2 linked regions of the Kluyveromyces lactis genome follow. The protein of the gene in region 1 interacts with the protein of each later gene in a pairwise test. Links are inferred from orthologs where the notes say so. Each region holds a gene or a part of one and is shown on either strand. Other genes may lie near its edges.

Region 1 (4,381 bases):
TGACCATACCACCTGCATCACCTACTCCCGTAAGGATTAACGCAAATTTTTTAGGGTATCATGAACCTCTTCAAAACAGTTTTCCTGAAATCAAGTCGCGAACTAGTATTTCAAATGTCATTCAACCGAATGACGATCCGATGCAAACTACTTCCTCGGACTTAAAAATGTTACAAACAGAGCTAGTTCAATACAAAAGACTAGTAGAGGATCAACGAATTGTATTCGAGGAGATCCAAGCTGCAATTGATGAATATGAGACTAAGTTGGATACCACAGAAAAGGAGAAAGTTCTACTTCAAAACCAACTCGACCATGAAAGAACGTCCCATCAGCGCCAAAAGCAGTTTTATGAAAGTGAACATGATCAGCTTTTGACTGTGATAGACGAGCTCCAATCTGAGATAAACCGGAATGCTGCCATATTAGCCGAGATTATGCAGAAGGAAAAGAAAAATTCCCTTGAAAATGATTATGTTATGCAAGATGAACCGAACAGTGATGCCCTTTTAATTAACGATTTAAGGGAACAGATACTAGAACTACAGCAACACAAGACTCAAGCTGAATTGCATAGGGTCCAATGGGAGAAAGAGAAGGAGCAACTGCAATTCCGTAACCAGTCGTTATCAAAAGAATATAAAAATTTGACTACTGAGATGACAGAGTATCAACAGAAATCCCATGATACAGAGACAAAAGAGTATACTCTCAACAAGGAATTAGACGATGCAAGGAAAAAAATTGGGGAGCTCGAATCCCGAGTCGAAGAATTATCCAAAAAACAGGAAGAAAATACACTTATTGTGGACAGTAACATTGAAACCTTGCCGTTATACAATCCAGGTGCCGAAGTAAAGTCAACTTTAGTGAATGCAGCTGCAGGGCGCTCGTTGTGGTGTGCTCTTTGCGAAAAAGACGGTCATGAATCAGTAGATTGCCCATACGACGACAAATTCTTTTAGAGTCAAAATTCGTCCCTTTTAATATCCATTGTTGTACTTGCATCATATATATAGCATACTTAGCGCATCATCATATAATGAATCATCTTATAATGAATTACCTACAGTCCATCAATCGCATCCGGACTTCTTCTTCGAGTTTTCATTGGCTTTCCTGTGTTTTTTTCATCATATGACTCATGTAATTCAGTGCATATGCGTTCAATCATATTTTCACAATCCACTGCAAAAATCAAGCCTCCTGGTATATAAAAATGAAAATATGAAATATGAAAAAAAAATAAGTTAGTCGTCATGCTTTATCAAATTTCGTTACATTCAGGACTGTCCACCTAAGACAAGAAGTCATAAAGCACCAGAAATGTTGCCTGTTGTACCTGTGTTCAATGCTGTCAATGCGTTGAAAGAAAAGACTTACCTTTACTTATCCAGTCAATTAGTACTTGATGGGAAGGATATGACTAAAGATGATATTTTGGAATTTGTTCAGAATAGTCATGGTCAAAATATTTCTGTTCTATTGAAAGACGCAAAATTTGAGGATGATGATCTGATTGTTCTATTGAATAATGGCGTTGTAACCTTGTTTATTGATTCTGATGATTATGCTGCTCATTTAGTTGAAATTGGGGTACCAAGCATCAGATTGACCTTATTAAAAGATGGTGCATACCAGTTCAGCTTTGGTCAAATACAAGAGATCCAACAATCTCAATTGGTTAAAGCATCTGAAATTTCTTTGGAAACATTCACTAATTCTGTCCTTTCTGGCATGAAAACTGATCGTCCAGATGGTTTATATACTACCTTAGTCGTTGATGAAAATGAACGTTCTCTAGGTTTGGTATATTCTAATAAAGAGTCCGTTTCTTTGGCCATCGAAACACAAACTGGGATCTACTTTTCCCGTTCACGTAACGAAATTTGGCGTAAAGGTGCCACTTCTGGGAATGTTCAAAAATTATTATCTATTGAGTTGGATTGCGATGGTGATGCACTAAAGTTTGTGGTCAGACAAGGTGGTTCAGGGTCCTTCTGTCACTTGGAAACCGAATCTTGCTTCGGTAACTTCAGACATGGGTTATACGGTCTACAGAAGCTTTTACAGGAAAGACTCCTTAATGCCCCAGAAGGATCATACACCAAAAGACTATTCAATGATTCGGACCTTTTAACTGCCAAGATCAAAGAAGAAGCAGAAGAACTTACCGAAGCTGTTGATAAAAAAGATATAGCTTGGGAATGTGCTGATTTATTTTACTTTGCTATGGCTAGGCTAGTTGCCAATGGCGTATCATTAGAGGATGTTGAGCGTAACCTAAATACCAAACACTTGAAAATCACAAGAAGAAAAGGTGACGCCAAACCTAAGTTTCTCAAGAAGGAACCAGTTGCTGTCCATGAAGAAGATGGAAAAATTGTTCTTAACGTTGTTTCCGCTAGTGACAAAGCTGCCGTCGAAAAGGCAGTCACAAGACCAATTCAGAAAACAGCTGAAATTATGAACCTGGTTAACCCAATCATTGAAAACGTTATTAAGAACGGTGACAAAGCGCTAGTTGAATTGACAGCTAAGTTCGATGGTGTCCAATTAGAAACACCAGTTTTGGAGGCACCTTATCCAGAAGAATACCTTGATGGATTGACTGATGAACTAAGAGATGCTTTGGACCTGTCTATTGAAAATGTAAAAAAGTTCCACGCTGCTCAAATGCAAAGTGAAACCCTAGATGTCGAAACTCAACCAGGTGTTGTCTGCTCTAGGTTCCCTAGACCTATCGAAAAGGTTGGTCTATACATTCCGGGTGGTACAGCAATCTTACCAAGTACTGCGCTTATGTTAGGTGTACCGGCCCAGGTTGCTGGATGTAAAGAAATTGTTTTCGCATCACCTCCAAGAAAGTCTGACGGTAGAGTTTCTCCTGAAGTTGTTTATGTTGCAAGTAAAGTCGGTGCTTCAAAGATCGTATTAGCAGGTGGTGCACAAGCTATTGCTGCAATGGCCTACGGTACTGAATCCGTTCCTAAAGTGGACAAAATCTTAGGCCCTGGTAACCAGTTTGTTACCGCAGCAAAAATGTATGTTCAAAACGACACTCAAGCTTTATGTTCTATCGATATGCCAGCTGGTCCAAGTGAAGTCTTGGTCATTTGTGATGAAGAAGCTGATGTTGACTTTGTTGCATCGGATTTGCTATCACAGGCTGAGCATGGTATTGACTCTCAAGTTATTTTGGTAGGTGTCTCGTTATCTGACTCGAAGATTGAAGCTTTACAAAATGCTGTTCACGAACAAGCTATGCAGCTACCTAGAGTTGATATTGTTCGTAAATGTATCGCCCACAGCTCAATCATTCTATGTGATTCTTACGAAGAAGCCTTCAAGATGTCGAACCAATATGCTCCTGAACATTTGATTCTACAAATTTCAAATGCCGAAGACTATGTCAAAGATGTGGATCACGCCGGTTCCATTTTTGTTGGTGCTTATACTCCAGAATCATGTGGTGATTACTCTAGTGGTACGAATCATACATTACCTACCTATGGTTATGCTAGGCAGTACAGTGGTGTGAACACAGCCACTTTCCAGAAGTTTATCACTTCTCAAGTGGTCACCCCAGTCGGTTTAGAACATATTGGTCATGCTGTGATGAGTGTTGCTAAAGTCGAAGGCTTGGATGCTCACAGAAACGCAGTCAAGATCAGGATGTCAAAGTTGGGCTTACTACCATCAGGTTTTGAATAATATAGAACTAACTTATTAAGATTTGAATTTAATATCTAAAAGAAAAATAATGCTATGTTTGTATAGAAATGAATAAACTTTAACCATTCGAATTGTTTAGAAGCTTACTCCAGAAGCACGCGTTGAATGCATGAAACTTCCCCAGAGATTTGCATATTCAAAGTATCAAAATATTACTTCACGTGACTTCTAAATACAAAAACAATGGAAATCTTAATGAAAATGCTTGATACCGCATATCATCATCGCTAGAGTTGAATAAATTGATGATATAGAGCTGTGACTCCGCGTAACGTACCAGCAACCCATTAAACATGCAGGTTAACCATCTATTAAGGCAAGCTGTCAAACAGACCACTAGAGCGGGACGGCTAGGTTCGAGGAAACCTCACAAACCGCTCTTGCCTCCGTTACAATTGTACCGTAGAATCCTCAGAGAACACAGAAACTTACCAACGATGCAGAGAGAGTTGGGAGATCAATATGTCAAGAATGAATTCAAGTTGCATAAGAGTACTGACAATCCCTTATACATTGTTGGATTCTTAGCCTCATGGCAGGATTATCTGCATATGATTACAAGAGGTGAATGGGAAGAAGGAACTTTATCCACTGACCTGCTTGAAAAGATGTCACCAGAACAAGTTACCCAGTTGTACGAATTGAT
Region 2 (3,287 bases), on another chromosome or scaffold:
CCCACATCTTCTACAAACTTCTTTACATGAACCGAGACTAAGCAAAGACATAGAGTTGAAGATTATGCCTATTACCCATCCGTACTTGCCAAGCTTCTCCGGAATAACGAAGTATTATGCTGTCTGGAATAGCATACGGTTCTTATTGAACACTTTTGCATTCTCAGTTGAAAACAGGGTACGTATTAAAAGCCTTGACGTTGAGAAGCATGAAGTAATTATGAGATGGGAAACCCATCCCTTGGCTGCAGATAATCTAGGGAGTATCAAGAAAGCTGAGTCAGAGACGAAAATTTCAGGGATCTTTATCTTTGGTTTGAATGAGAACTGTGATAAGATTACGAGTCATCTAATAGATGATGTCGAAATAATCGAAAAAGATAAAAAGATAGATTTTAGTTCAAAGGTTCAAAATGGTGCAATCGCCTACTTCAAGACATGGTCAGGACCATGATCTCTATGGTTATCGATTCCACAAGTGCACTCTTGTATATACACGTTGCCTTTTCTTTATTTCCAACTTGAGACATATATATTTACGTGTATGGAAGTATGTTAATTTAGATGGGTTTTTTATTATGATTATATCACTAGGGCAATTAACGAAACCTTACTGGAAGGCAAAGCTAGAAAATAGTGTTGAACCTGGTATGAATATTAGATGTCTACTATTTAAAGTTCGTTGTTTGGACACGAAGTGAATTGAATGGTTAGTTGTTACACACTGTTACTTGATAATACGGCAAATGATTCACTGTCAATTGGCCAAGTAGTGTTTGCATCCCAGTCATAGGTCCACGAATTTCTGGAGTTATCTCTTGGGATCCAGTCCTCAAATGAAATACTCTCAGCTGCAGGTTCAAAATTTAAAAATGAGAAAGATGTAGATTTTAATGATGCTGGTGATGGAGGGTACGTTGCACATTGCTTTTGGTTATATTTTTGTGCCGATAATGATGCCGATGAAGATGATGATGATGAAGAGAGTGGAGGGGTGATTTCCGGGCAGCATTTGATCATCTGAACATCGTTGGTGAAATAATCTATGTTAGCATAAAACGTATCAATATTACGGTGAGTTGGTGGACAAAGAAGATGAGCTATCACCAAACGAGAAATAAGTAGCAGAAGATGTTCTGGATGAGATAGATTAGGTACCAATTCAAGCCAATAATCCTGGCTGCCTACAATGGCATGCCTGCTTGACTCCGAGCAATTATTGGAACGATTAGAGCCCTCTAAGAGATTCGGTAGGTAATACTGTTTAACAAATTTCACAGGATTATCATTGAAGACAATGAAGTTGGTATTCTTGGTAGGAGAATCGATGTTGGCAGATTTGAACGGACAAGAACCGAAAACGATATACAGTACTGAAATACCTAGAGACCATAAATCCGCACTGTAAGTGTTATAAGTATCATTATGTGAGAAAGTCTCAGGAGCCAAGTATTTTTCCGTTCCGATACCGTGATCCGAGGCGACTTCGCCAAAGTACGATAGTCCAAAATCAGTTAATTTGATTTTTCCCGTGTTGGTGACCAAAATATTCTCAGGTTTGAAGTCTCTATGGGCGATACCTAATGTATGACAGTATTTCAACGCTGAGCAAAGTTGAAACATCAGCGAGTGAAAATGTAATTTGGGTGGGCTTTTAGATGAAGATTTGCTATTTCGAGCATTTTTTGAATTTTTATCAGTACCTCCTGATTCCTTAATTCGCTTCATATAGTCATATAAATCACCATTATGGCAGTATTCTAACACGAATACGAATTTTTCATGATCCTGATAGAAATCAAGCATAGCGCAGATATTAGGATGTCTATTGCCCAATTTCTTGAGCACTCTGTACTCATTCCTTACCAATTTACTAATTGCTTCTAGTTTAACTGGATCAGCTGGCTTAGAAACAACTTTCATGGCAACATAACTACCAGTCTTGGAATCGTAAGCACGGTATACCGTGCTAAAAGAACCAGTTTGAATCACATCTATCGGCTGATACTTATGCATATCGACTTCGTGGGAATGAATGCTCGGTATGAAAACGTCTCTAATGGGTAGTGGAGCAGGTGACACCTTATAATACTCTTATACTAAGATACGTCAGGTGATCTGGCAACAAAAAGAGCGAACATAAGCCTTGCGTATACGACTATTTGCACCAGGATAACATTGTTACCCAATCTGACTTCCTCGACACATATATATATATATATATATAATATGGCAAAACCTCAAAGCCAGGGAAAACCCCCATCTACAGTAATTGACATGCAGGAACCGTTTAATTGAACCGAATTCAAAGACATACACACGGGAGAGACTTCAAACACTATAACAAAACAAAGGAAGTGAAGGGAAGCACCAGGCACCAAACCCTCTTCTCCCTACTTCCGTACTATCTAAAAAACAGCCGTATAAGCTAGTCTGTGCTTAAGATAAGACACCATATTGGACGAATTCTGATTGCTGAATTATGTCCTAGACAGCATTTGACGTTGATTCCAGTAAATGTAGAAACTGCTTATCAACTGAACACGATGTATAATAATTTATGTTCACCTAAGTATGTGCTACGTTTTTTCTGGCATCGTAGTACAGGGGTTCGGGTCTCGAACACTACCAAATCATACACATATATTGCTCTTGAATGATGATATAATGAGCTGGATCACATTTTCATAAGCACCAATTCGTGCAAATTTTCACACCTTCAAGAATGCAATTAAAAAACATAAGTCTACGCACCATCTCAGTACTTCTACCAGATGGAGTGTGAGTCAGCGGTGAAGAAAAGAACAAGTAGAAGGGTGGAAATATCACTAAGACCAAGTCCAAGCCGTAGCCCAAACGACAGGCCAAACAACCATGCCTCCTCCTACTTATCTAACTAGCAAATTTCGAGCACTGTCCTGGTGATAAATTTTCCACTAGATACATGAGCCCAGGTTTATCTGCAAAGAACTTAATTATCTACGTACCGATAAACGAAATATGGAGACGGGAGGAGTTTAGAGTTTAAATTCAGTACATAAACTTGTTTCAACTTCATTCCGGTTTACATTATATCGTTTCTTTACAGCCGTTGTAATGGCAATAGAAAGGGAAGAAAGGGGAAATCGTTTAGCCTGGACTTAAGCCTATGGAAGAAGAAAAGAGAAAAGCTGTTTTTAACGAATTGGGTCTCTCACCAGGAAAACCTCAATTCAGCAAAACGATCAAGGATGGCTAGATAGTGGCAGAAGGACACTGGAGCTCATCCTTCCGCTACAGCTCCTTTC

The links.
Region 2: the proteins of HIS4 (region 1) and FMP48 interact in binary tests that used the Saccharomyces cerevisiae proteins (3 or more experiments, as listed by UniProt). The link is inferred for Kluyveromyces lactis from reciprocal best matches to the Saccharomyces cerevisiae genes HIS4 and FMP48.

What each region holds. Positions count from the first base shown.
Region 1 is NC_006039.1:108,129-112,509, reverse strand, and holds HIS4 (trifunctional histidinol dehydrogenase/phosphoribosyl-AMP cyclohydrolase/phosphoribosyl-ATP diphosphatase), read left to right. Parts: upstream 1-1,326; coding exon 1,327-3,714; downstream 3,715-4,381. Other genes in the region: BIK1 (Bik1p), read left to right, coding at 1-965; SDH7 (Sdh7p), read left to right, coding at 4,029-4,381.
Region 2 is NC_006037.1:243,811-247,097, reverse strand, and holds FMP48 (protein kinase FMP48), read right to left. Parts: upstream 2,017-3,287; coding exon 718-2,016; downstream 1-717. Other genes in the region: MCO32 (Mco32p), read left to right, coding at 1-454.